7 linked regions of the Mus musculus genome follow. The protein of the gene in region 1 interacts with the protein of each later gene in a pairwise test. Links are inferred from orthologs where the notes say so. Each region holds a gene or a part of one and is shown in the gene's direction. Other genes may lie near its edges.

Evidence for each region.
Region 2: the proteins of Ube2k (region 1) and Marchf3 interact in binary tests that used the Homo sapiens proteins (3 or more experiments, as listed by UniProt). The link is inferred for Mus musculus from reciprocal best matches to the Homo sapiens genes UBE2K and MARCHF3.
Region 3: the proteins of Ube2k (region 1) and Mipol1 interact in binary tests that used the Homo sapiens proteins (3 or more experiments, as listed by UniProt). The two-hybrid records come from large-scale screens. The link is inferred for Mus musculus from reciprocal best matches to the Homo sapiens genes UBE2K and MIPOL1.
Region 4: the proteins of Ube2k (region 1) and Trim39 interact in binary tests that used the Homo sapiens proteins (3 or more experiments, as listed by UniProt). The link is inferred for Mus musculus from reciprocal best matches to the Homo sapiens genes UBE2K and TRIM39.
Region 5: the proteins of Ube2k (region 1) and Mid1 interact in binary tests that used the Homo sapiens proteins (3 or more experiments, as listed by UniProt). The link is inferred for Mus musculus from reciprocal best matches to the Homo sapiens genes UBE2K and MID1.
Region 6: the proteins of Ube2k (region 1) and Trim31 interact in binary tests that used the Homo sapiens proteins (3 or more experiments, as listed by UniProt). The link is inferred for Mus musculus from reciprocal best matches to the Homo sapiens genes UBE2K and TRIM31.
Region 7: the proteins of Ube2k (region 1) and Rnf41 interact in binary tests that used the Homo sapiens proteins (3 or more experiments, as listed by UniProt). The link is inferred for Mus musculus from reciprocal best matches to the Homo sapiens genes UBE2K and RNF41.

The regions. Positions count from the first base shown.
Region 1 is NC_000071.6:65,589,245-65,592,744, forward strand, and holds part of Ube2k (ubiquitin-conjugating enzyme E2 K), read left to right. Parts: intron 1-2,631; coding exon 2,632-2,731; intron 2,732-3,500. UniProt on the Homo sapiens protein: Accepts ubiquitin from the E1 complex and catalyzes its covalent attachment to other proteins. In vitro, in the presence or in the absence of BRCA1-BARD1 E3 ubiquitin-protein ligase complex, catalyzes the synthesis of 'Lys-48'-linked polyubiquitin chains.
Region 2 is NC_000084.6:56,922,716-56,926,941, reverse strand, and holds the start of Marchf3 (E3 ubiquitin-protein ligase MARCHF3), read left to right. Parts: upstream 1-1,426; 5' UTR 1,427-1,635; intron 1,636-4,226. UniProt on the Homo sapiens protein: E3 ubiquitin-protein ligase which may be involved in endosomal trafficking. E3 ubiquitin ligases accept ubiquitin from an E2 ubiquitin-conjugating enzyme in the form of a thioester and then directly transfer the ubiquitin to targeted substrates.
Region 3 is NC_000078.6:57,228,925-57,233,224, forward strand, and holds the start of Mipol1 (mirror-image polydactyly gene 1 protein homolog), read left to right. Parts: upstream 1-1,500; 5' UTR 1,501-1,687; intron 1,688-4,300.
Region 4 is NC_000083.6:36,268,634-36,272,804, reverse strand, and holds the start of Trim39 (E3 ubiquitin-protein ligase TRIM39), read left to right. Parts: upstream 1-1,371; 5' UTR 1,372-1,468; intron 1,469-2,027; exon of another isoform or gene 2,028-3,738; 5' UTR 3,739-3,743; coding exon 3,744-4,171.
Region 5 is NC_000086.7:169,987,619-169,991,298, forward strand, and holds the end of Mid1 (E3 ubiquitin-protein ligase Midline-1), read left to right. Parts: coding exon 1-148; intron 149-1,244; coding exon 1,245-1,593; 3' UTR 1,594-3,180; downstream 3,181-3,680. UniProt on the Homo sapiens protein: Has E3 ubiquitin ligase activity towards IGBP1, promoting its monoubiquitination, which results in deprotection of the catalytic subunit of protein phosphatase PP2A, and its subsequent degradation by polyubiquitination.
Region 6 is NC_000083.6:36,896,930-36,900,929, forward strand, and holds the start of Trim31 (E3 ubiquitin-protein ligase TRIM31), read left to right. Parts: upstream 1-1,200; 5' UTR 1,201-1,424; coding exon 1,425-1,838; intron 1,839-2,962; coding exon 2,963-3,058; intron 3,059-4,000.
Region 7 is NC_000076.6:128,410,179-128,414,415, forward strand, and holds the start of Rnf41 (E3 ubiquitin-protein ligase NRDP1), read left to right. Parts: upstream 1-1,437; 5' UTR 1,438-1,647; intron 1,648-4,237. UniProt on the Homo sapiens protein: Acts as E3 ubiquitin-protein ligase and regulates the degradation of target proteins. Polyubiquitinates MYD88. Negatively regulates MYD88-dependent production of pro-inflammatory cytokines.

The DNA.
Region 1 (3,500 bases):
TTTTCTTCTCTGCCCTTATATTAGACAGAGCCTTCCTTTATATTAGGGTGAACTAGACCTCCTGCCTACATCTCCCAAGTGCTAGGATTATAGAGCTTGCTACCATGTCTGACTTTCCTAAGATCATTTTAGAGACTAGTGTATAGTGGGTATTTTAATATATAAAATATAGACCTACATTGTGTGTGAACAGCTCTTGCCAATTAGCATATAAAGAGCAGGGTTCTACAAATACTGTCTTTGGTTATTTTCATTGGCCCATTTGCTCAAACACTCCTAACTTTTTTTTTTAAAGACTTATTTATTTATTATTATATGTAAGTACACTATAGCTGTCTTCAGACACACCAGAAGAGGGAGTCAGATCTCATTACGGATGGTTGTGAGCCACCATGTGGTTGCTGGGATTTGAACTCGGGACCTTTGGAAGAGCAGTCGGAGCTCTTAACCACTGATCCATCTCTCCAGCCCCACTCCTAACTTCTTATAGAGCAGGTCTTAGGTGAGGTCCTCAAATGAGCATGAGTAATACAGTCCTGAAGTTCCTGCACTTGGGAGGAAGAGACAGGAGGGTCCTGTTTTTCATCTGTCTTAAGATGACATAGTAGACTCTGTCCCCAAAACCAAGTCCCTAGACCTACTCATGCCACTAGTAAGAGGAAGAATATTTACTGACATTTACTGCATTAACATATGCTGCATCCAGAAAGTTGAGTTCCTTCGTGTTCTCTCTCTCTCTCTCTCCCTCCCCCCCCTCTCACCCGCCCTCCTCCCTCCCTTCTTCCTTCCTTTTTTTCTTTTCTTTTCTTTTCTTTTCTTTTCTTTTCTTTTCTTTTCTTTTCTTTTCCTTTCCCTTTCCCTTTCCCTTTTCTTTTCTCTCTTCTCTTCTCTTCTCTTCTCTTCTCTTCTCTTCTCTTCTCTTCTCTTCTCTTCTCTTCTCTTCTCTTCTCTTCTCTTCTCTTCTCTTCTCTTCTCTTTTCTTTCTTCTTTTTGCCTGAACATCTAGGGTTGTCTCTTGTGTATTATTCAAGGAAACTGAAAATAGTCACTAGGAATTTTTGTTGTTTGATTTTAGGAATTAGGAACTCAACCAGACAAGGCTGGTTTAGAATAACCGTCTGTGTGGTTAAAAAGTGAACTTACTGTGGTTAGAGATAAAGCTATAGTGTAGTGTGCTTGACTTTACAAGGCCCTCACTTAGGATGACAGTCAAATTCCTCTAGAAGAGTTTGCTCTGAGATTTTCTTGAGACAGGATTTCTTTGTGTAGCCCTGTCTGTCCTGGAACTAGCTTTGGAGACCAGGCTGGTCTTGAACTTACAGAGATCCATGTTCCTCTGCCTTCCAGATGTCATGTGCCATCATTGCCCTGTCAACATTCTAAACATTTCAGGATTAGTGAAGCAAACTTTAAACAAATAATTATTTCATAAAGACAAGGGCTTTTGGTATAAATATAATTAGGATCATGACTTAAATTATGAGATTGAATTTTATTCCTAATTGTGTCTGTGTATTGGTGTGGGTATATAGTTTATGTGGGTTCCTCCAGAGGCCAGAAGCAGTAAGTCCCGTGGAGCGGCAGTTTTAGGTCATTTGCCAGCAAGCCAGCAATGGGGGCTGGGACGCAAACACAGGCCCTTTGCAAGAATAGTACACGCATATAATGTGAGCCATCTCTCCAACCTCAAGTGTAATATTTTAAATAGAAAATTGTCCTATTTTGGAATACTATGGATTGATCTTTATCTCCGTGTTTTACTTAGCATGCCATTAAAGAGTTGTAGTGACTTAACTGTGGTTGAGGGCATGGGCTGCTTGCTCTGCAGTGATCCCAGGGGAGTCCTTGGTACCCACTCCATCAGCAGAGGATGGACTGCTTTTATCCTCTCCAAGCACCTGTACTCAAGTTCACTTATGCAGGCATGATTTAGACATTTAAAAGTCTGTTTAAAATTCCAGTTTATTAGTATTGGTAACTTAAATTATCACTTTATAATGAAATATGGGTAAGTGGTTGGAGAACTTGCTTAGTGGTTAAGAGCATGTGTTCTAGCGGGACACTGGTGGCGCACGCCTTTAATCCCAGCACTTGGGAGGCAAAGGCAGGCGGATTTCTGAGTTCGAGGCCAGCCTGGTCTACAGAGTGAGTTCCAGGACAGCCAGGGATATACAGAGAAACTCTGTCTCAGAAAAAAAAAGAAAAAGAAAAAAGAAAAAGAAAGAGCGAGCCTGTGTTCTTAAAGAGTGCTTGACCTCAGTTCCCAGCATCCATACAGTGACTCAGGCATCTCGAACTCCAGTTTTGACCTTCATGGGCACCAGACATTTAGCACCATTCATACATGGAGACAGAAACTCACACATAATATCTAAGAAGAATGTTAATTAAGATAAAGCTTACAAAGTAAGTAAATGGAACAAGCAGAGAAAACAGCAAGGTGAGGGTGAGGTGACTTGAATAATCTTAGAAATTGACTCATTGGAAGAATAGAAAATTGGTAATTGGTACACGTTAGTTAACTATACAATTTTTAGTTCTAGCGTATTTTTGTTTCCATTCAGAAAACAGACTTTGCTTATGTCATTCAAAGTCCTTTTAACGGTGATATTTTCCTAATTTGAAATTTAGGGCAGCAGCAATGACTCTGCGCACGGTATTATTGTCATTGCAAGCGCTGTTGGCGGCTGCAGAACCAGATGACCCCCAAGATGCAGTAGTAGCGAATCAGGTAAGAAAGTAGCTTTTGAAAGACTTTCTTAGACCTGTGTGTGTAGTTTTAAATATTTCATATTAGCATATTAACATTCTATGTTGTACTAAATTTGGAAATGGTTTCTTTTAATAAAATAATTTTGTCACATATAATAAAATCATGTTACAGGCTAGAGAGATAGCTCAGTGGTTAAGACTGCTCTTAACTCTGAACTCTTCCAGAGGTCTTGAGTTCAATTCCCAGCAACCACATGGTGGCTCACAACCATCTATAATGGGACCTGAGGCCCTTTTCAGGGCTGTCTGAAGACAACTGCAGTGTACTCATATAAAATAAATAAATCTTTAAAAATAATAATAAAATCATGTCATAATAAACAAATAACAAATAAAGAATAAACAAATACCTGTTAGGAACTCCATTATCACTTATGTCCAGATATGTACATTGCAGAGGTTCTGTGTGACTTAAGTTCTCCTTGTACACTTAACTCTTTTGTGATATTCTTTGATTTCAAGAGTTTTTAAAATTATAGTCGTGTTTATGTCATTGTGTTCTGTTTTCCTTGCTTCCTCTTTAAGGAAGCATTTATCAGCCAACCTTCAGATTTTTAAAAATGTGCTTATAAAATGGGTTCCCTTTAGCTGAAGAGATGACTCAGCACTTATGGGCATTAGCTGCTCTTCCAAAGGACCCAGGTTCAGTTCTCTATCACCCACATTTTAGCTCATGACAGTCTGTAAGTTCAGTTTCTGGACACCTTCACACAGACGTACATGTAGGC
Region 2 (4,226 bases), on another chromosome or scaffold:
GAATAGTCAGTCACCTGTACTAAATGGCTACATAATCCCTTAGAGTTTCTCAGAACTGAGACAGTGATCTGAAGTGTTTGGGTTAGAAGCAAGAGTATGGAGGTGGGGGACACGTGATTGGCAGACCATTAGCAAGTTTGGTCCCTTTCTTGTCCTGTTGTGCATTCCTTTTAACTTGAGTTGGATGCACAAGTACAGGTCTAAGCACTGATTGGATCTACCCAGTCCAAGAAGATAGTCTAAGACATGCTCATATTCTAAGCCTTAGACAGCAATACTCAAATATCTGCTTTTGACTCTCCATTCCCTTCAATCTCTCTCTGTCTGTCTCTCTGTCTGTCTCTCTCTGTCTCTCTGTCTCTGTCTCTGTCTCTGTCTCTCTCTCTCTCTCTCTCTCTCTGTGTGTGTGTGTGTGTGTGTGTGTGTGTGTGTGTGTTTGATCTTAAAACCTGGCCAAAAATACCATTCAGGCCAGACCTAAAGGCTCCCAGTGCACTCCCTATTACCAACTATGGGCAGCTTCACACCATCAGCCTAATCAAGGTTTTCCAAAGGGTAAAGTGGGGAATGCAGAGTCCGATGGATGTGGCTTGCTTGCACTGCTGCGGTTTTCTGTCCAAGAAGACTGGATGGTTTGGCTTCTCGATATTCCTGGAGGAGCCAGCAGACAGCAGCAGAACCCATTGTGGAGAATAGGAAATGCATGGGGCGCCTTTGGGCATGGGAAGAACCAGGCTTTTGTTAAAATGTCCCTGGCGGTGTGGAAGGAAAAGGAGAGTCTTGCTTTGTACTTTCCCAGAGGTTGGCTGAGCCAGAGTCCTTGTTTCGGAGACAACCGCCAGAACGAGCTTAGAACCGAACCGTCTCCAGTGTAGCTGGACCTGTGAGACTCAGTCTGTTTGAGTACTCAGAGTCCTCCCATGACTAGGGCGCCTTTAGGGCTAAGTTCCTTGCCTCCTGTTGGTGTCAGATGTGAGGGTTGTTTTCCCGCAGCGTGCCCATTCGCGATGGTTCTGGGAACTCCTACGGTCTGTCAGCAAGAGCCTTCCCTGGCCGCAGCCTCGTTCCCGGGGCGTTCGGGTCACACAGCATCAGACCATGCAGGAGCCTCCCCAGACGACGCCGTCGCCACCACCACTACACTTACCACCACCACCGCACTTCACAACTGCCAACTTGCGGGCAGCTAGAGCGTCTCCGGGCCAACGCTCAGCCGCAAGCGATTGGACATTGAGTGAGGGGCGGGACTACGCTCTAGGCACCTCCTACGGCCTCCAAGGATCCTGGTGCCCTGACGATTGGCTATGGCCTCCGCCAGTCAAACACTAGTAGACGCCCCGCCTTACAGGGGCTGGCCCGAGGCTGGCCCCGCCCCAGGGCTCCGCCCCCTTCGGAGCCTAGTCAGCGCTGCGCTGTGTTCCGCCTCATTCGCTGAGCGGGTCCGTGGTTTGCCAGCGCGCTCTGGGCGACTGCTGAGCCAGGCGACCGCCGAGCTTGCGGCGATCCCCGTCAGGTGCCCCGCAGAGCCAATGCGCCCAGGTGCGGCGGGGCAAGAGCAGCCGGCGGTTCCGGGCAACTTGGGACTGAGGATCTGCTGCAGGGGCGTGGATTTGGCGTCTCTACTGGGCCAGGAGGGTGAGTAGCCGCGCCGTGAAAGCGGCTCCTCCGCGCCGGGTTGCCAGCGAGCCGAAGACCGCGTCGGTGCTGGCGGGTGGGAGCGTGGCGGCTGTGGAAGGGCAAGGCAAGGCAGGAGACACTTACTCTCTGTCAGCGTCCCGGCTCCCGAACTTCTGGTTTTCAAAGCATCCCAACTCGGCCCAGGACATGCCTGTGCGTCGGAACCGACTTGGCGTTGGTGGTTGCCACCCTTAGGTCCCAGACGCGCCCCTGCCCCTCTGCGGCGGCGACACGGGCGCGCGGGGACACCTCGGTGCGCACACAGCAGTTCCTAGATGGCTTGAGAGTGGTTCCTAAACATTAACCGGCGCCCGAGCCGGCGTGCGCAGCGAGCGCTGGTCGCGTTCCGACTGAGAACTGGAGGGACCCGCTGGGGACAGTAGCAGGCCTCTTTCGTACTCTGCAGATCCAAAGAAAATGACAGCGGTGCTGAACATTAAACTTTGGGAAGTAATTGCTTCCTGTCAGCCTTTGAATGTGCGCCCCTCTTCCCGGGTTGCTCAGACCTCCGCATCTGCTACAAGGTGTGTCTGAGGAACTTGGTTAGGACCAGCAGGGAGCGTAGAGGCCAACACCAGGCTGGGTGTCCCCCAGCCTGTTTTGGTGGTGTTCATTAAAACACCTGCGTGTTTTACGTGATGAAGTTGTGGCAAGAACTGACAACTGAGGATTCAAGGTTAGACCTGACACTTTGTTGCTAAGCTCAGGTTACACTGTCCCCCGTTTCCTCTTGTAGTAAATGCAGCTTGATTTTTTTTTCTGAGTGCAGTTGCATGCAGCTTATATTCTGTGTGGACTAAATAGAATTCAGTGCAATATTGCCTTGCAATTCTTATTTGATTTGAATGAGAGCTTATTAAGAAGACTATGGAGAGTTGGCTCTGGTGTTGGGAATAGTTCTGTCTTTTATAATACATAAAACGTTGAGTTATGTCATATATGGATGTACAAGTGCATATATCTGAATCTATGTGCAGGATTGATAGGGGGCTGAGGTAGAAATATATAAAGAATTAACTCAGCCTTGAACTTCCTCTCGCTTATAGAGATGAACGCGCTTAGCTATAAGGTATATATTGTCCTGTATGTGTAAGCATGTCTGACTCTTGTCTGGTCTGTCTGAGTCAGTATATGTCCGTAAACTTTACGAGCACTCAGTTCAATACCACTCAGTACAGATTCCGCGTTCCTGTTTTACAGCCCAGCCGCCGCCAGCCAGCCCATCTGTTAAAACATAGCATGTACACTTCAGCCAGAACACTGGGGTGGATAGTGGGTAGGGGGCAATCCTTAGGAAAACAACACGCTACAAACAAAGCCTTTCGCTTGACTTCTATTTTCAGCTATTATTTGGCCAGAACTTACAGCTTTAATGAGGGTGAAGCAGGGAATGGTGTCTCTTAGAACAGGGGGGAGTATTTTCTGATATAATTGTAGCCATAATTTAGGAGGGGGAATTATAGAAGAAGAAAAAAATCCCCTGAGAAGAACTGTGGTTGTTACCTCGACAGCAAGGTTGGTTGGCAGTAACATGTATATCACAAACTGTTGTCTTTTGCTTCAGAGGATGTACTAAAAATAAATTGTTTTGAACACACACACACAGTTTAATAAAAGTAAATAGAACTTTACTGCCAAGGCTGAAGTTAAGATTGCCTTACTAATCCTAATGAAACATGCCTTTAGGAATTGATACCCTGGAAATCAGTTCATATTTGGCCTAATCACTAGTAACAATGGTTCACAATGTGTAGCTTAAAAAATAATAAAAAGGCTTTATCATAAAAATTCTGATGACTAAAAAAGTATGGGAGGAGTATTATTATAACAGCTTGTTAAGTTCCTGCTGGCAAGTGACTGATACTTAAAAAAGCTATAAATTCCTTTAATGGTATAGTTACTTTTAGTGACAATAGGGACAGCACCTTCATGAAGCACAGTTGATCTTTTTCACAGTCATTTTATGTTCTTGATTACAGTTTAATAGTGGTGTTCATTATAAACTGGAGTGGTTTTAAGAATCCATCACAAGTGTTTTTGTTTTTATGTTACATAAAATTTGGATGAAATACGTAAATCCCTAATATATATGTCTAAATGTATGAAGGGCTATACAGATCCTCCTGGCTTCACATGAATCCTCCAAATAAACTGAATAGCCCCATGGGAATTCTGTTCTTGTCCTAGAATTACTTCTGGGGCCTAGGGTAGCTTAGGAATCTGCATTTTCAAGCACTCAAGACGTGTTCTGATACGAGGGACTTGAACTTGAACATCAAGAAGTACTGGAATGGTGTTTAGGAAATAAAATAACATGATCTATGAGTTGACACAATTGATTATTCAGAAATTCCAGGTGGTATTTACTGGCCTTATAAAATTGATAGTTTAACTCTCTCAGCAAAGGCCTCTTTGCCCTGTGCCTGTAATCTTCAGTCATTCCTATTCTGAATTGGCCCCAATTTTAAGGAAGTCTAGATGGAGAAGCAAGATAATAAATACCTCACCTCAGTCTTGGGTCTCTGCTGTCTGTTTCTGTACCAGAGATG
Region 3 (4,300 bases), on another chromosome or scaffold:
ATCTCTGGAACACTACTGTATACTGAAAGTACACAATTTTTCATTTTATGGGGGCTCATTTTTTTCTTTTTTGTTTTTTTGAGACAGTTTCTCTGTAGCCCTGGCTGTCCTGGAACTCACTTTGTAGACCAGGCTGGCCTTGAGCCCAGAAATCCGCCTGCCTCTGCCTCCCAAGTGCTGGATTAAAGGTGTGTGCCACCACTGCCCTGCTAGGGCTCATTGTTTAGAAGTTAGTGTGGCCTCTTTTTTGGAAACTTTTGCTATGTATCCCAGGCTGTCCTGGAATTCACGTTCACTCTTCAAAGGTTCAGAATTACAGATGTGTACCACCATAATCATATTTTTTTAGTGGTGGTTTGTTTACATAAAAATATGATTCAACTCCGACTAATGTAAAGTAATAAATAAAATTTAAAAATGCATTTAAAGCCTGAATCTGTCACAAGTCACTAGTACTAGTCATTAGTTACATAAATAATGAAACTTTTTCTTTTTAGTATTATGCTCTATTTATTCCAAATAATTTCCATCTGGTCATCTCATCCTTTTTTTCCATGCTTCATTCCTCCTGTCACCTACTTTGTGGAGTATGTGGCACTTCTGAAAGGTGAACCTTTGCTAGAGGAAATGGGTCACTGCTTTTTGGTTATAGAGCCCAGCTCCATTTTCTATTCTCTTGTTTTTTGACTGGATGGCTAGCCACTTTGCCATCCTGCCTTTATTAGCATGGTGGACACGGATCTCGTATTGCTATAAGCCAAAATAAAGTCTTTCACGAACTTTGTCTATTAATTCAGAAAATAAATATAATTTTCTGCTGTGGGTGTAAAAAATTACTATTATTACTGTTACCCCAGCATCCAGAAGACTACTTGGCATGTAGTATGCCCTCAATAAATAGATAAGTTAGAGTGACTTCAATAGCTCAACACTAAATTACCAGAGCATCAGTGGCTAGGGTGGGGTGCAGGAGTTCTAGATTAGATAGGGCAGCATAGGGACACTACTTCTCTTTCTTTAAAAGGAGAAAAATATTCGAATATTATCAGCTATATCATCTAATAGAATTCCACATTACTCCTATACTTCGCTTTAAAAATATCCCTGGCGTTCAGCCCTTTCTTTTAAGTTCTGCGATTGAACATTCTGAGTACACCCTTTCTAGTCCTGAAGTCAAAATGTCACCAGCCTTAAAGCTTTTCTGAAACCATTGGCCGATGTCTAAGTCTCACTCTGGCTCACTTCGCAGGACCTTTCCTTCTGTCCCCGCAAAGCACTGCGCACAGAAGGAAACCACTGCCCAGTGAAGATACTCCATGGGATGAGCCCGAGAACCACACATTTCCCCAGTTAGCGCGCACTGGTTGTCAGCTCCTCCCACAGAACGCGACCTCGAGGTCGCCTTCCTTTCCAGCAGCCCGGAACCATCCTTGAGCCCTCCAGCTCGCCGGAAGCCCCGCCCCGTCCCGCCCCGCCCCGCGGCAGCCAGCGGACTCGCGCATGCTCGCTGCGCGCAGCCTCGTCCCCGCGTGCTCTCGCGCGCTTCCTCTCGCCCGCTCTGCTCTTTTTGGTTACTCAGGGGCACGCGCAGCGTTTCGCGCGACGATTGGCTGCCTCGGTGGCGGCGCCACAGGACCGGGCAACTACGCGAGCGGAGTGGGCGCTTAAGGATCCCGCGGCTCCTCAGGTAACGGCGTGGACCGGGAGCGGCTGGGGGAGGGGGGAGAACCTCAGGGTGGCCTGCAGCCCGCCCGGGACTTCCGGCCGCGGCCCCTGGAGGTGCAGGAGCGCTGCGTGGCCCGCGTCGCGGCGTCCTCAGGTGACAACACCGCTCCTTCTCCAGGTTTCGGCCTCATGGCGTCATAGTCTTTCAAAAGTTAAGAAGGGACGAACAATGACTCGGAAGTGTGGGCTGTTTTTCCTCTAAGCTTTGACGAGTTAGGGTTTCAGTCCTGGCGGGACCGCGGATCCACTCTGTGCTTTTGCGGGACACTTGAGCGATTCACAGTTCTCACCCTTCAAAGTGCGAGCAAAAACCCCAGTGTAGTTCAGTATGCCCGGCGCCTACATTAGTAAGATGCAGCTGCAAACTCTGCCTTCACTACATTCAAGATTTGGCTTTTCTTTTTTTTCTTTTTCTTTTTGGTTTTTTTTTCGAGACAGGGTTTCTTTGTATAGCCCTGGCTGTCCTGGAGCTCACTTTGTAGACCAGGCTGGCCTCGAACTCAGAAATCCGCCTGCCTCTGCCTCCCGAGTGCTGGGATTAAAGGTGTGCGCCACCATCGCCCGGCCAAGAGCTGGCTTTTCTAACTGGAGGATGACACCACCCAGTGGTATTGGTGAAGTACTTGAAGTTGGACACTACAAGATAGAAGAATAGACTAGGTTTCTAAGAGAATAGGCCTTTGGAAGGGCTCCTTGAGCGTTTTGATGTCCGTTAATTCCCGATGGTGGTAGACAGCTAAAGAAGGACAGTTTTAACCTGTCTCACGAGTTACCTCACTTTGCAAAGTTTCGTATTGCCATCTGGAATGAACCTCACATCAAAGGACAGTTAGTTACATAATCATTACATAGGCTATCATCCCGTACCTCAATGTGCCTCAAACTAGAGTGACTTGAGAGGAGGGTAGTTAAAGGAGGAATTGCCTCCATCAGATTGGGAACATTTTCTTGATTAATGATTGATATGAGAGGGCCCAGATCACTGGGTTTTTTCAGCCCCAGGCAGGTTGGACCGCAGTTGTTAAGGAAGCAAACCAAGCATGCTATGGAGAGCAAGCCAGTAAGCAAGGTTACTCCCTGGTCTCTGCTTCAGTTCCTGTTTCCAGGTTCCAGCCTTGAGCTCTTTGCCTTGTTGCCCTGGATGGCGATGGATGCTGACCCTCCACTATGTTTGTTTTTGGTCATGGTAGTCTTGTCAAATTGAAAGAAACCAACCTAGATCCAATCCTATGAAAATAATATAGCAATATATATATGTATATACTTTAAAGATTTATGTATGTGAATAAACTGTTGCTCTCTTTAGACACACCATAAGAGGGCATCAGATCCTATTACAAATGGTTGTGAGCTACCATGTAGTTGTTAGGAATTGAACTCAGGACTTCTGGAAGAGTCAGTGCGTTTAACCACTGAGCCATCTCTACAGCCCAAGCAATATATTTATTTAATGGAGGCAAAGTTTGTAAAAGTGAGATAATATGAATTATTTCACTAGATAAAAGTAATAATGGCAAAACAAATATGAATAGGACATGTACATTATTCTTCAAAGACAGTATAAAATAAAAATCTTTGTGTGATAAGTTTGAAAGCTTAATAAACATACAAAACCATGCTTAAGTCCTGTGTACAATTTATTGCATTTTCATGAAGTATAATTATGTCTTGAAATTTAATTTTAATATATATATAGGTATGTGATATAGTATAAATTTAAAGTACTGCATTAGATTTGTGTATGTACATTGAGATTGCTTTCATTATGTGTAATATGTGTACAGTTTAGAAATAACTAGACTATAACAGGGTTCAGTTTACTGTAGTTTATAATCTTGAATATTCTTCTTGTTTCTTCTTTAAACATACCAACATCTGTCTCCGTCTTTTTCTTAAGACATTCTCTTTTGAGTCTGGCTGTTTGAGAAGTTGCTATGTAGACCAAGCTGAACTTGAACTCAGGGAAATTATCCTGCCTCTGCCTCCCAAGTGCTGGGATTAAATGAGGGCACCACCCCACAGGGCTTCTTTGTATTTTATCTTGAGGATTTTGAAGACTACCATGACCAAAAACAAACATAGTGGAGGGTCAGCATCCATCGCCATCCAGGGCAACAAGGCAAAGAGCTCAAAATCCTTCTTTGTATTTTATCTTGTGGAATGAACTTTGAAAAATAGAAAAAAACTTGATAATAACTTTTAAAATCTTTATTGTGAAATAATTCATATAGAAAGAAGTATATAAAACATGGACTTTTTAATTCCTTATTCAAATGAATAATCACTAAAACTTCTTACTAATCTGTTTGTAGCTGTTTATAAAATATATCTGCACAAGTGATATGGATTTGTCAGTGGATGGATTGTTTTATATGTGCCTTATTAATGCTGTTGCTCAAATCTCTAATAACAATTTGTATATCTAATGTGTTTTAGTAGTAATAAGTGCTGACAATTTGCTACATGTTAAAACTCCTTTTGTAATAATGAAGACTATTTCTCCCTGGATACACACCCACCCAGCCATCCACATATACATATATACACACACATATGCACACATACATACATATGT
Region 4 (4,171 bases), on another chromosome or scaffold:
AATGTGCAAGTCTGGAGTCTATCCATAAGCTCCATCTGCTCTCCCAGAGAAACTTAAGCAAGGTCTTCAAAGAGAAAGAAGCAGGCTTTGGTTCCCACCCAGTGTTTCCTGAGCACAGGATTTGGTCCTCCTGGCATCCTAGATGCAGGGGCAGCAAAGCACCGAACTAGACCGGTTTTCTACACTCCAGCTCCAGCCAGGGAAAGCGTTTCGCTAATGTCAGCTGTGGTGGCTACTCCTGGTGGTCAACTTGACTATCTGGAAGGAATTACAACCCAGAATTGGAGGGCTCACCTGTGATCCAGATCTTGAGGCTGGAAGACACAAGTTTCTGACCTGGATCTTGACATGGAGATCTTGAGGTACAGTGGCCATTAAGTTTAGGACCAGGCAAGGCAGTACACGACTTCAATCCCAGACTGGGGCAAGGAGTTCTCTGAGTTCAAAGTCAGCCCGGGAGAAAGCAAGTCCCAAATCCAAACAAGGTGGTGCACACCTTAATCTGGGCCACGCCTTCTGCTGGAAGTCTACATAAGGACATAGGAAGAAGGAAGATTCTCTTCTTCACGGGCTTGCACTTACTTGCCAGCACATCTGTCGGAACCTACTTCTACAGAAGACCAGCTGAAAGAACTAGCCACGTGGGACTGCGCAACTACTAGATTCTTGGACTTCCCATCCACAGCTGCCCATTGTTGGGTTAGCCTGTAAGTCATCACGATTAATTATAGAGAGAGAAACATTCACTAGGTTCTGTAGCTCTAGAGAACCCCTGGCTAATACATCACCCAACCGGAGGAGGGGAAAAGACGCACCTCGGTCTGCAGCCAAGATAACTCACCTACTACAGCTTGCCGGTTAAATTGCCAAACCTCAGCCAGTCGGAAGTGACGTGCCAGCATAGACTCTCAGGTCGGCCACGTAATACACCGCCGCCTTAAACAGCAACCCTCCCCCAGAATTGACCCGGAGACCGGGAAAGTGTGGCCCAACGCCCACAACCCGTAGCCGCCCAGGCCTCTGCGGTTCCCAGCCCCACCGAGGACCAGCTTGAGCCTCTGCGGGCTCGCTGACCGCGCAGCTCTGCCAGCCCAGCCACGGCGCGCTGCCCGCCATGGGGTTCGGCGTCTCGCCACGCGCATGCGCGGCCCTCAGTCTCCGGGGGACCGCTCTGGTCACCTGGGCGCCAGCACCTCAGCCACGGGAAGCGGCGGGTTCCCTCTCGCCCGGTAAACTAGCCGCGCAGGCCCTCGCCTCCGGCTCTCCGCCCGCCACCCGCCGCGGGCCCGACTAGGCCCTGGCACGGCGGCTCGGCGCCGCGCAGCTGTCTTCCATCGCCGCAGCGCGGCTTCCGCTTCCGGCGAGTATTGTGTGTCGCGCCGCGGGGCGGGGGTGAGGGGAGGAGGAAGGAGGGAGGCAGTGCTCCGGCGGCTCCGCGCCCGGCACTCCGGGACCCGGAGCCGGGAAGGTAGGTGCTGCGCCGCCGCCACAAGGGTCCCGCAGCCGGCTCCAGCGAGCGGGCTCCTCTCGCCGCGGCCCTACGCCCGGCGAGTACGTCAGCCGGCCGGCGCGCAACCACAGCTGCCTCCGCCCGCCTCGGGCCCGGAGGACGTTTGCCGCCCCGGCGACGTCAGCGCGTCCGGCGTTGCTTGGCTACCCCGCCGTTCCCCTGTCCCGCTGCCTTTGGTCTCCCCGGGTGAAACTGACGCAGTCATCGCGGGTCTGGGCTGCGACATGGCAGCGGGCATCCCACCTTCACGTCACACCTCTCCCTCACTTAGACACGCATCCGTTCCTCCCTGCCAAGCACGACGTATGCTCCCTCACTCTGGTCCTCATGCTCCCGATATGGCTGGAGAAGATGGAGAACGGGTGGGACAGAGTTGTGGCCAGTGCTTGAAAGAGGCTCCTGAGGTGGTACCCAATAGTGATTAAAGGCAAAACGTGGACGTCTCTGACGCGATTACTTACACTGAGATCGAGTAATGGAGAGTGGGAGGAAGGATCAAGCCAGAGGAGCACAAGGCCATATTATGGCTGCCCTCTACACCACCACCACACCACCCCCAGCTCCAAATCCTCTCCGTTCTTCACTATCCTTGAGCCCGTTTCTCTCTCATACCATCTATTTGCTAATTAGATACATGCAGGTCTCTCAAGTGTGAATATGGTTCAGTTTTAGGTGAGGATGCCACTTATCTGTAGGATTGAGGAGGAGGAGGCTAAGTCACTAGTCAAAACTGGATTCTAATGGGCAGAGAAGAAAGAAATCATCCAACTGTACTTATCTGGATCAATTCTTTTCTCCATTAAAAGAGGATAAGTTACCAACTCCTACTTAAAATCCTTCCATTTGTACCACCAGTATACAGAAATAATCATTGTTGCCCCAATTCATTACATGGGCACTTTTCTGTCGATGGGTAGACCTATCAAATTTCCTTCCTTTTTGGGGGGCCCCTTTTGGGACAGAAGGAAAGTAGGGGGTTATGGGACCAGATAAATTAGCTTACTTATGTATTGACATCTTAAGAATGGAGAGCTTTGGTTGTCTCTTTCCATACACTTATTCATTTATTGAGACCAATAACTATTTATTGGTTATATTTAATTTAGGCTGGCCTCGAGTTCCTGAGGCTCCTGCCTTTGCCTCCTCGGTACATGCGCTACCTACCTAGTATTAACCATACCTGGCTAATTTCCTTCCTAATCACTGACTATCTAAGGAGTTAGTTATCAGTAGTGACGTTGAAAGACTGCAGTCACCACTGAATGTTTAGAATGTACTTGCCAGCTCTCTCTCCAAGAAGCTGCTGCCCTCAATGCACTCAATGGTGCTTCCTTAGAGCTGATATGTATTTGTTGCTTTGCAGCCATCCCAGCTGCACACAAATAGAAATGCGGTGAGTGACAGGAGCATCTTCAAGAAGAGAGCGTTCTTCCTTTGGGCTAGTTTGGGGAAAGGAAGAACCATGTCATGCTTTCCCTGAAACAGTGTGTTACTGTAGTGTAACTCATTAAGAGGAACAGCAGACAATCAAGGCTAGACTCTAAAACAATAAACTTCCTATGACGTTAGAAGAAGTAGCTTGGGGTTCTTTGAAATCGATGCAGTAATTATATATGAAGTTCTTTAAAGTAGTAATGAGTTCTAGGGCTGATAGTCAGTTTTAATAGATATGTAGATATATTATTTGTTTTACAAATCTTACTCTACAGCCCAGGCTAGCCTTATTCTTGTATTGATCCTCCTGCCTCACAGTGAGCCACCATGCCCAGCTAAAATCTTAATACTTTGGCTTATGTGACATATCTCATTTCCCATGGTTCCCTCCCTGTAGAAATAAGATCTGTGTAATTCAAGCTAACCTAGAACTCATTGTGTAGCCTACGTTGGCCTTCAGCTAATGACAGTCCCCCTACCTTGACCTCAAAAATGGCTAGGGAAATGGGTTTCAGTCGCCATATCAGGCTCCTTTTCATTGCTGGTATTGAAAAAGCAGAGGTAAAGAAATTCTGGGCACTGCTGATATTTGCTGACTCAAAATAATAATAAAATAATAATAACAGTGATGGGGAGAGGTCACACACACTGTAAATAGACCAACAGATGAAAAGGTGGAAATGGGAGAATACCAAGATGGGGCTTCATCTAGACCTATGGCTTACTGGGAGCTAATGTCAGGAAACAAAATAACCCTCCAACTAACACTTCTTTCCTCTCTCCCTGCCTCCAAGTTATAATGGCAGAGACAAGTCTGTTAGAGGCTGGAACCTCTGCAGCCTCCACAGCCGCTGCTCTGGAGAACCTGCAGGTGGAAGCAAGCTGTTCTGTATGCCTAGAGTATCTGAAGGAGCCAGTTATTATTGAATGTGGGCACAACTTCTGCAAAGCGTGCATTACCCGCTGGTGGGAAGACCTAGAGCGGGACTTCCCTTGCCCTGTCTGTCGGAAGACATCCCGATACCGGAGTCTCCGGCCTAACCGACAGCTAGGCAGTATGGTGGAAATCGCCAAGCAGCTCCAGACGGTCAAGCGGAAGATCAGAGATGAAAGCCTCTGCTCCCAGCACCACGAACCTCTTAGCCTTTTCTGCTATGAAGACCAGGAGGCTGTCTGTCTGATATGTGCAATTTCTCATACCCACCGGCCCCACACCGTCGTGCCGAT
Region 5 (3,680 bases), on another chromosome or scaffold:
ACCTGACTGTCGAGCGCGACGAGTCGTCCTCTAAGAAGAGTCACGCGCCGGAGCGCTTCGCTGGTCAGGGGAGCTACGGAGTGGCTGGCAACGTGTTCATCGACAGCGGCCGTCACTACTGGGAAGTGGTCACCAGCGGAAGCACATGGTAGGCCGTCTCCGTCTGGATCCGTCTGTCTGTCCCTGTGTGTCCATCTGTCTTCTGTCCATCTGTCCACCTGTCCTCTGTCTGTCCATCCGTCTACCTGTCTGCCCTTCTCTCTGTCTGTTTCTGTCCATCAGTCTGTCTGCTCTTCTGTCCATCTGTCTGTCCATCTTTTGTCTATCTGTCCATCCCTCTGTCTGTCTGTCTGTCTGTCCGCCCGTCTGCCTGTCTGCCCTTCTCTCTGTCTGTTTCTGTCCATCAGTCTGTCTGCTCTTCTGTCCATCTGTCTCTCCATCTTTTGTCTATCTGTCCGTCCCTCTGTCTGTCTGTCTGTCCGCCCGTCTGCCTGTCTGCCCTTCTCTCTGTCTGTTTCTGTCCATCAGTCTGTCTGCTCTTCTGTCCATCTGTCTGTCCATCTTTTGTCTATCTGTCCGTCCCTCTGTCTGTCTGTCTGTCCATCCGTCTACCTGTCTGCCCTTCTCTCTGTCTGTTTCTGTCCATCGGTCTGTCTGCTCTTCTGTCCATCTGTCTGTCCATCTTTTGTCTATCTGTCCGTCCCTCTGTCTGTCTGTCTGTCCATCCGTCTACCTGTCTGCCCTTCTCTCTGTCTGTTTCTGGCCATCAGTCTGTCTGCTCTTCTGTCCATCTGTCTGTCCATCTTTTGTCTATCTGTCCGTCCCTCTGTCTGTCTGTCTGCCCATCCGTCTACCTGTCTGCCCTTCTCTCTGTCTGTTTCTGTCCATCAGTCTGTCTGCTCTTCTGTCCATCTGTCTGTCCATCTTTTGTCTATCTGTCCGTCCCTCTGTCTGTCTGTCTGTCCACCCGTCTGCACGGGCATGCACAGGAGAGAAACGGGGCAGTGAAGGAATGGAAAATCGAGATTCTCTGGTGACACTTAAGCTGCAGACCAGAAGGTCGGTCGACACACCGGCCGCCGTCCACCTCTAATGTGTTTAGGAAGGACAGACAGACATATTTAGACGTAAAGACTTAAAGGGAGTGTGATCGCCAATAAAGGATCACTTTAAAAAGAAAACACCTGTGGACCACGAGCAAATCTCACCGACAGGCGATGTGATTTTCTTTTTTTTCTCGGCAGGTACGCCATCGGCCTGGCGTACAGATCGGCGCCGAAACACGAGTGGATCGGGAAGAACGCGGCGTCCTGGGCCCTCTGCCGCTGCCACAACCACTGGGCGGTGCGACACGACGGCAAGGAGACCCCCATCGCGCCGGCCCCTCACCTCAGGCGCGTCGGCGTCCTGCTGGACTACGACAACGGCTCCATCGCCTTCTACGACGCTCTGAGCTCCGTCCACCTCCACACCTTCCACGCGGCGCTCGCGCAGCCCGTGTGCCCCACCTTCACCGTGTGGAACAAGTGTCTGACCATCGTCACGGGTCTGCCCATCCCGGACCATCTGGACTGTACGGAGCAGCGACCTTGAGGGACCCGGCCCCACAGCGGCCCCGGGGAGGGACACAGGTGGAGGCCGCTGTTTATGGGGTCGAGAAACTCAGGCTTCCAGAGCGTCGTGACATCTTCCCCAATCTGTCCAGAAAATCACTCACAGTCATCCCCCTGCCTCACACGGTCACTCAGGGTCATCCCCCTGCCTCAGAAAATCACTCACAATCATCCCCCTGCCTCAGAAAATCATTCACAGTGATCACCCCCGCTTCAGAAAATCACTCACAGTCATCCTTCTGCCTCAGAAAATCACTCACAGTCATCCCACTGCCTCAGAAAATCACTCATACTCATCCCCCAGCATCATAAAATCACTCACAGTCACCCCCTGCCTCAGAAAATCACTCACAGTCATCCCCCTGTCTCACACGGTCACTCAGGGTCATCCCCCTGCCTCACACGGTCACTCAGGGTCATCCCCCTGCCTCAGAAAATCATTCACAGTCATCCCCCCGCCTCAGAAAATCACTCACAGTCATCCCCCTGCCTCAGAAAATCACTCACAGTCATCCCCCTGCCTCACACGGTCACTCAGGGTCATCCCCCTGCCTCAGAAAATCACTCACAGTCATCCCCCTGTCTCACACGGTCACTCAGGGTCATCCCCCTGCTTCAGAAAATTCTATTCCATACTGAGGCCAGGCTGGGCACGACCGCTTAGAAGAACCGGATAGACGGCTAAAGCAGAAGCCGTCTTGAGCCTAATAAGGAAGCCCGCGGGCTTCCTCACTCCGATGTGAGTGGAGACATTTCAGCTGTGACTGTATCATTGATACCCAGATGAATATTTTGATAGCGACTTAAAACGACTTCACATCTTAAACACGGACACCTCGGTGGAAAATGTTTCATTTTCCTCTGAAAATTTGTGAGAACGTCTCGACGACGACGACGCCAGCAAGAGAAACGTTTGGAAAACAGCGCTTCTCGTCACGTTCTCGATTCTGCCACCCCGGAAGACATCTGGCCTCATCTGGAGTCGATCTCGGGCGTCTGTCCCCTCCTCGTCGCTTTCCCCTCGCAGACTCCGACCCCTGGGAGGACTCCCGGAGCGGAGGTTTTTCCCGGCGTGCTCTCTGTCGCCACCCGGTGGTGACAGAGGAGAATGCGGCGGTCGTGACCGGCGACACGGAAATTCTTTTTTATAGTTTTCTTAGACTGTCATTGACTGCTCGTCGCTGTTTGCGTATGTGTGAACCGTAGGCACAGTTTTTTCACACGTTGCACTTGTTCTTCTGTGGCCTGACCCCCCTGGGTCGGGCCGGTGCTTGGGGGTCACCCGCCCAGGTTGGATGTCACCACCACAAGGGAAAACAAACACATGGGTTTTTCCCCAACATGATTATTTTTTTATGTCACTCGCCTGCTGTTTGCGTGTGGGTGAACCCCGGGCCAAACATCCCATGTCAGCCATCGTTTCTGTTTTTATCACATCGTTGGGCTGGGGTTAGGGGTCGGGGTCGGGAGGGTGGGGATTCGTTTTGTCATCCGGGTCCGATGTCGGTGGTGTGCGCGGGGGGGGGGGGTGGGGGGGGAGAATAAAGGAGAAGCAGCGACGTGGAAATATTTTTATATTTTTCTTATGCTGTCATTCCGACATTCACTCAGCTTCATCCCCTGCCTCATTTTCAGGCCCCTGCCTCACACATTCAATCAGCATCATCCCCCTGCCTCAGAGACTCAGACACAGTCATCTCCCTGCCTCAGAAAATCAATCACAGTCATGCGCTGCCTCCCACAGTCACTCACAGTCATCCCCCTGCCTCAGAAACGCACTCACACTTAAACCCCTGCATCCTACATTCACTCAGCTTAATCCCCTGCCTCATTTTCAGGCCCCTGCCTCACACATTCAATCAGCATCATCCCCCTGCCTCAGAGACTCAGACACAGTCATCTCCCTGCCTCAGAAAATCACTCACAGTCATGCGCTGCCTCCCACAGTCACTCAGCGTCATCCCCTGACCTCTCCCCCACTCCCACAGGGTGGCAGTTGGCCCGGCTGCCTGGGGGATTCCGGGTGGGCGGAGCCAGGGAGCCTCGGTGACTGACAGGCAGGCGGGG
Region 6 (4,000 bases), on another chromosome or scaffold:
AGATCTGACAGCTGAGTATGAATGCAAGTTATAAAACCTTACAAAAATATTTGCTTTAATTCAACCTTAAAGTGAATGAAATAGACAGGCCTGAGGTCTGGTATTTCTACACTTGATCTTAGCCAAAAGGCTGAGAAGTGTAGGTGTAGTATTTCTGAAAGTGTTCAGCTTTCAGTAGTTGCTGTAATCAAAGTAACCTCTATAATATGAGTGGATACTTTTGAGAATGAAAGGAAGGGCTGTTGACATTTATGAGGGGACAAAGGTAAAGCCAAGACTGTCCCTGGCAAATGACAAGGAACTATTGTTGGGGCTATAGCCATAAAATCCTCCACACCCTGTGTGACCTGCCAATGGCCTTGCCCTATGAACACATTGGTTGCCTGTATAAGACCAGGCCAGTCAACTTTCCAACCTAAATAGGAAAGGGTTCATATGGCCCCACCTCACACTGAGGAGCTATTGGCAATTGATAGTTTCTGGGGTTGTGGCATTGTAGTGGCCTATGCTCCAGTGGGTGGTCCCATACCATTTGCATACAATTAATACTAACTCTGTGTGTGTGTGTGTGCGTGTGTGTGTGCAGGCAAAACTTTCATGTGAGTAAAATTAAAATACACAAATCTAAAACATTTTTATTTAAAAATTAACAGTTTGGGTTTTAATGACAGAACAGAAGAGAGGAGAGGTTAGTGGGGATGGAGAGGGAGGAAGGAGGGAGCACCGTCTTCCTGGGCACAAAAGAGCAAGAGGAAGGGTTAAGAAGTGTTGAGCTACTAATGGAAATGTCGGTGACCCTGGCTGATACTTTCCTTGTCAAGCTAAAGTCCACAGGTCAGGCAAGCTGATGTGTGTGTGTGTGGGTAGGTGGGGAATCTGAGAAGTACAGAGACAGAGGAAGTAACAGACAGGCCAAACAGAACAAAGGATGACTCAAAGATGCTGGGGTACCAGAGACAGGAAGGAATACCCAACAGAAGGCAGGGTCTGGGAGTGAGAGATCTGCTGGGGTGGTAACAAGCCTTCCTGGGGCTGCCAGCGATCAGTTCCACTCCCCAATTACACCTGAGTGGACTTTGTCACTTCGTCTTTCTGTTCTCTGAATCTGCTTCAGAAAGATATGTTTAATTAGTTCAAGGTCCAGGAAGTCTTGCTCTACTTTATAGGCAGCAGGCACTCTCGGTTTCTGTTCTTGAGAGACAGGGAGAGAGGACTGACCATCTGTTTTCTTCTCTTTAGAATATTCCCCATTTATCGCTGACTCTTTTCTGTCATTATTTATTTAACCCCCCCTTCCCTCATTCTCCTCTAATCCTCTCCCTGAGATACTCTTCAACCTCTGCCTCCTGCTTCCTTCTCTCTTACAAGCACCAGGCCTTGGATTTCTGTACTTTCACATCTCAGATTAGCCCTGCTGTTCCATCATGGCAGGCCAACCTCTGGCCTGCCAACTGCAGGAGGAGGTGACCTGCCCCATCTGCATGGAAATTCTACAAGATCCTGTCACCATTGACTGTGGGCACAACTTCTGCCTGCAGTGTATCAGTCAGGTTGGAAAAACGTCAGAAAAGATCCAATGTCCTCTCTGCAAACTCTCTGTGAATAAGAATACGTTCAGGCCCAATAAGCTGCTGGCTAGTCTTGCAGAGAAGATCCAAAGTATGGATCCTGCTGACATCCAAGCAGAAAAGGAAGACTCAAGATGTCAGAGGCACAAGGAAAAGCTACATTACTTCTGCGAGCAGGATGGGGCATTCCTCTGTGTGGTGTGTCGTGACTCCAAGGACCACAAGTCTCACAATGTCACCTTGATAGATGAGGCTGCCCAGAACTACAAGGTAGGCACCTGGGCCCTTCTCTGCCCCCAGCCCAGCAGAGTAGAGTTCACTGGGGAGGCCCCAGTTGATTGACACCCATTGCTGTACTCTTTGTACTTGAGTTGGCCATTTATAGCCAGGTCCAGTGGGCTCAAAGAATTGAGTTCTAGAAAATGCCAGTCTGTAACCAAAGCAAGACGAAGAATCAGAATAGTACTCTAGGGGCAGGCGAAATGACCCAGAGGGTAAAAGTGCCTGTCTTGACCATAAGGACCCACATAGTAGAAGGAGAAAATTGGTTTGATCCCTGGGACATGCAAAATAAAAGGAGAGAACTCACCCTTGAAAGTTGTCTTCATACACATAAACACAGACACACACACACACACACACACACACACACACACACACACCATAGCACTCTGCTGAACTTGCACACACAATTAATAATGTACTAATTTTTAAACATAATTTTTTATTAATTATTTTTTTTATTTACATTTCAAACATTACCCTTTCTGGTTCCCCTCCATGATCTTTCCACCCTATCCCACCCTTTCTTTTTGCCTTTAAGAGGGTAATGCCCCCTACCCATTCCCACTTCACCCCTCTAGCATCCCCCATCTCTGGGGTATCAAGCCTCCATAAGACCAAACGCATCCCCTTCCACTGAGGCCAGACACGGTGGTTCTTTGATACATATGTAGTGGGGACTATGGGCCAGCTCATGTGTGCTCTTTGTTAAGTGCAAATTTTAACTCAGAAGGTCTCATTCAAGTCCAGCCACTGCTAACTTACAAAGCAGAGCCTGAGACATCCAGATAAGCCAGTGCTCTTCTACCACAGAGCTCCATCCCCTGGTTGGTCCTGGCCCTGCCTCTCTGTGAGGCAGATGAAACCTATCTCTTAAAGAATGTGATAGGACGGATGAGGAGAAGTCTTCCCCTGAGAATACCAAAGCGCCATCCAAATGATCATTAGTAGTATTTTCTCAAGTCACTAAAGTTCCATTTCTTTCCATCACCTCCTTGTTCCTATCGAGAGATGGGGGCCAGGGAGGACTGCTAATAATGACATCAGTACCCTGGAACATCTTCCCTGCCTCTCAAGAGTCAGAGCCTGGCTGAAGCACCCTCTCCTTACAGGTGCAGATTGAGTCACAGGCCCAAGATTTGGGGCAAAAGGACAAGAAAATAATTGAAGAGAAAAAACAAGGTGAAGGGGCAATCTGGGCGTTCAGGGTAAGAAATGCTCATTCCAAACACTTCTGGGGAAACTGAGGCATTGCTGATGAAGCTCCTAGCCTTCCTTTATACAGCAAGCAGGAATAAAATCCTGCTGACGTGGTGGTGAGGGGCAGGGCAGAGGGTGTATGGTGCCTGAGCCGTGCTCCCGAGCCAAGCTCCCTAGCTGTGCTAACTACTGCCTGAATGCTGTGCCAGGTCTTCTGCTCCTCCACCCACAGCAGGCTGTGTAGAGAACACCCACACACTGGCTCACCCAAGCCCTTTCTAACTAGAGACTCCCACAGTAAGAAACGACAGAGACTATGACGCCATTGAACATCTCCACCTCATTTTGTTTGCATGTTTTAAAAAAAGTTTTATTTTTGTTATTTTTATATGTGTGTATATGTATGTGTCTGCATATGAGTAAAAGCCATTCGTGTGAATACTGGAAAAGACCAGACGAACTGGGATTACAGGCACTTGTGAGCTGCCCTACACAGATGCTAGGAACGGAATTCTGGAAGAGTTGAAAGCATTATTTTATTCGTTTGTTGGTTGGTTTACATCCCAAATGCTGACCCTGCCCCCTGGGAATGCCATCACCATCTCCCAGATGCTGTTGACTTGGCTGGCTGGTTTTTGTTACATCCACGGAAAATTCAGTTATGAAGGCAGTTAAGCTGAAAAGCCTTCTTTCTTTATCTTTCTTTCATTCATTTGTTTGTGGTTTTCTCCCATTGACATTTAAGACAATCTTTTATTTATTTATTTATTTATTTATGTATTTATTTATGTATTTATTTATTTATTTATTTATAGATCTATTGTTTATGAATGAATGCTTTGCTAACATAAAATATGTATACCAGATAAATGCCTGGTACCTACCGGTAGAGACCAGAAGAGGGCATAAGATACTTTGTGGGTTATGGGAATTGAATCTGAGTCTTTTGC
Region 7 (4,237 bases), on another chromosome or scaffold:
TCTTTGCTTGTTTTCTCGGCAATTCTTTTTTTTTTTTTTGCGGGGGGCGGAGGGAAGGAGTTTGAGACAGGGTTTCTCTGTGTAGCCCTGGCTGTCCTGGAACTCACTCTGTAGACCAGCCTGGCCTCCAACTTAAAAATCCACCTGCCTCTGCCTCCCAAGTACTGGGATAAAGGCGTGCGCCACCACTGCCCATTTTACACATGAAAATGGAAAGTTAGTTAAAAGCCAGTACCTTGGACATGGCAGGAGCTTACACATCATCTTTAATGTACCGAACGGTTCGGCTCAGGGCTCTGGGACAAGCAGCATTTTCGCCATAGAAAGATAATACGCAGATTCACTCTCCTTTGAAAGACGTTGAACCCGGAACATAAAAAGCAAGCCTCAAGCCAGGTGGACACTGGGGAGGCAAGAGGTAGGCGGATCTCTTGAGTTTAAGGCCAGCCTATCCTACATAGTGAATTCCAGGACAGCCAGGGCAACAAAGAGAAACCCTGACTAGGGGAGAGGGAGGGGAGGGAAGCAAGTTTGACTTGGTTCACAAAGGCACATCCGATTCCTGTTTCCTTATTTTATTGTATCTCAGAGACACCTAGAAGCTTAAGTTTCCTCTGGTACTCGTCATATTGTCTTCAAAGGAAGCAGCTAGCTCTGTATTCTCACGAATAAGCTAGTTACATATGTACTAATGTGAATTGCCCTTTAAAAAAGAGAGTATCTACAACAAATACTATTTGACACCAGATTAGCCTAAGAGGTAATGTAATTGCATTCCTTGTCTTGCTTCCCCGCTTACCTAACACAGAGCGCTTTAAACTCCACCACGACTCTCCTCGGGTTCTCTCCCACCCATTTCCCCTAACCACAGTGTTGCAGCCTTAGGAAATCAAATCCATTAATGTTTCGGGCGGTCTGAGTTTTTGAAGAGCCATCAGGAATACTACAAGAGTGTGTGGCTGGGAGGTGGACGACCCCTGCAGCACCCTAGATCAAAGCTTTGCGGTGAGACACTCCCTCCCTCTCCATCCTGCGGCCTCCTAAGTTAACAGCAGCATCCATCCCCATGACTGTGAGTCACAGGTCGGGAGGCTCCGGGATGCTGACCACAGCTCTGGAAACTGAAGGGCTGGGAGGACAGCAGGCCACGCTGCAGACCAGCTGCCCCGCGGCGACCTCGTCCCAGCGCTGCACCAGGTCTGGCACCCGAGCCGTGCACCACCCAGCACCAAGTAACTCTGCAAGGCGGGACACCCAGGGTCGCCCCGGAGCTTCACACCTGAAGCACATAGAGCCCTCCCTCCCAAAAGGCTACACTGTCCGTCCTAAGAACTTCCGGCCCAGAGCGGAGGCCCAGCTAGCCCCCGCCTCTCATAGGCCGCTCGCAAGGAGCATCCAGGCGCCGCCGAGTTAAATAGAGAGGCGGGGCTTGGTGACGAGCTTCCGCCCCGTTGCGTAGCAGCAGTGGGCGTGGCTAAGGGCTAACCCGAGACAGCGAGGAGTGGTCGGAACCTTCTTCCCCATCCTTACCTTCCCCTTCCCCTACGGGGAAAGGCTGAGACCGGGCACACAGTGTGCTACGCGGCCGCCGTGTCCTCAGCTGCAGCCAGGCCCCGCGTCCGGAGAAACCAGGCTGCGTTCCGGGTGGTGCGTAATGCGCCTGGGCGAGCTTCTAACCCTGGGGGGTTGGGGGGGAGAGGGGGCGAGGTCCCTGTGGATTGGTGCCTGGGTCCGAAGTGCTGGGGGTAGGGAGGAAGGGTGGAGAGGAGGAGGAAAATGGAGGAAGGGAGCTCAGCTGGGAGGAGTCGGGAGGTGAGCTAGCTGGGGGCTCTGGAGCTTTGGAAGATCCTCTGGAGTAGGGAGAGCCTCGGGAAGTGCGGGAGTGGCCTTGGGCCAGCCTGAGGACCCGGGAGGAGCTGATTGCTGGGGCTGAGGGACAACATGGAGTTTAAATGGCAATGATTGACAGGCCTGGAGGCGAAGGGAACGTTCTGGGGGCTAGCCTTGGCAGGGACCGCGGAACCCAAACCTCCGCCCTCCAAGCGCCATAGCTTGGCTTCTTTCCCATGCCTTGTCTTTGGCAGCCTTGTCTTTCTCTTTTATTCCTTCGCCGCTTCTCTCCCCTCCCGCCTCTCCGTGGAGGACTCTTACATTCCTTACATCTTTGACCCTGAATGATTTGCAGCCCCGCTCTCTGATACGCACGATCCATCCACTCGTTTAATACACTGGAAAGCCCACCCCAGTCCAGGAGGCAGGGCATTTGTGGGGTAGAGAGTGAGGGGGGGTGGGAGTAGGGGCAGGAGAAAGACCTGAAAAAGCAGGATGAGGGTGTTTTGGATTGGTACACTAACTTCATTTCATGAAACTTCATTTCAACTGGTAGCAAATGTGATGGTTACCAAGGCCACTGTTCTTGGGAGATTGACCTATGAGAATCTTGGCAGCTACTTCTTATACAGTAGTTTTAACTACTGTAGCAGGATGGGTGGCTACTAGTGTTCCCCCAAGAAAGAGTGGGATTGGATAGTGCCAAGGGAGGGTGAGGGGTGCATTTGTTATGCAGTGTCTTCAGTAAACCTTGTGGCAGGGCCTACTTCCCAGTGATTGAAAAGAAGGAACAAGCATTTTCAAGCATTTCCTCTGGTTCTCACTGTGAGTTTATTTTGCCATTCTGTTGCAACAAGTAATACAGCAGTCTTACACGTGCACTCAGAGTTTATCTCATTTGATTTGCAGGACAATAGGTTAGAAAATGCAAGTGTCATATCTGTTTGACAGTTGGCTACACGGCTTGTTTGAAGCTGTCCTGTCAGTGGATGGCAGAGCTAGGACTGGAATCCAAGCCCACCCTCCTTCCCCCTCTCTCCTGATTCAATGCTTGTCTTACAACTCCTGGTCTGTTTTCCTAAGGGTTAATTTTCCCATTACAGGAGGCTTTTTGGTTTCTGTGTTTGGAATTTCTTGTCCCTAGGAGACCAAGCACAGCCAATATAGTACCTGTTCCTGGAAGCTTTTTTTTTTTTTTTTTTTTTTTCCTGAGGTACAGGTGCATGTGCCAGATGGTTGGGAAATGAAGTGTTGTTCAAAGGAAGGAAGCATTCCTCCTCCCGTGTTATGTGGGGTGGGGAGGAACATCAACTCTCTCCTCTCTGGACCACAGTGAAGAAAAATTCTGGGCTTTACATCTCTCTCATTCACTGAGAAGACACACTGAACTAGGAGCACATGTACCCAATTCAGGAGACCCAGTAGCCTTTGTGTTCTGCATGAAAGATCATCAGGTACTCTCCTAACTTAGCCCTTTCACTATTGATACACACAGGATAACGAGCCGGGGAGTTTAATTAGTCATGCTGTGTCTCATTGACTCCGATTCTCAGGGCCCTGGAATAGCCCTCAGTCCCATCTTTTCAGGCATGAGCCTGGTCAACCTGGTTTTTTTTTGCTTCCTGGTCGACCAAGTTGCCTACCTAGAACAACACTATCTCTGCTTTCTTCCTCCTTCCCAATTGAGAAAAGGTCCTGCCTGGTAGCCTCTCCTGACCGAGTTCACAGTGATCTTCCTGTCTCAGCCTCCTGGGTGTTGGGATTGCAGGCATGAGCTACCGTACCTGCCTTCGTTCTTCCTGTTTATGAGTAAACCCGCTCTCTCAGTCCCCACCCCTTTGTCTTTTTTTAAAGCCTTATCCCTTCAGGGGTGTTTCAGTTTACACCTATAGCGACATTACTGAGTATTCTCTGTGTGAGAAAACATTTCCCTTGTGAGAGTCTGGATGTTTGGGGATCTGAGTACTCCAGGCTTACATCCCTGCCGGGAATGATCTAAAGCCCTGCTTTCTCACTGTCTTCTGACTTTTTCCAGCCCTGGCACTATAGGCATGCTCTCTCAAGTACAGAGCCAGGGACTGAGTCCCAGTGCTTTGTAAGCCGAGCTGCATCCCCAGGCCAGTTTTGGGTTTGTTTGAGACAAAGTTTGGAACTTGCTACGTAGCCTGAGCTGGCCTTGAACTCAAATTCTCCTATTTCACCTACTGAGTGCTGGGAATGCAGGCATGGACTGTCCTCCCTGGCCTCTAGAATAGTTTTTACATGATATCATATAAGTAAAGTCACTCCAGAAACATTAAAGGACTGTACAGGGCAAGCGCTATGGATTTGTATTCTGTATAGCCACTGATGTGGGATTTTTGGCATTGCTTGTAGTTATATGTGCTGAATAAAGAAGTATATATGT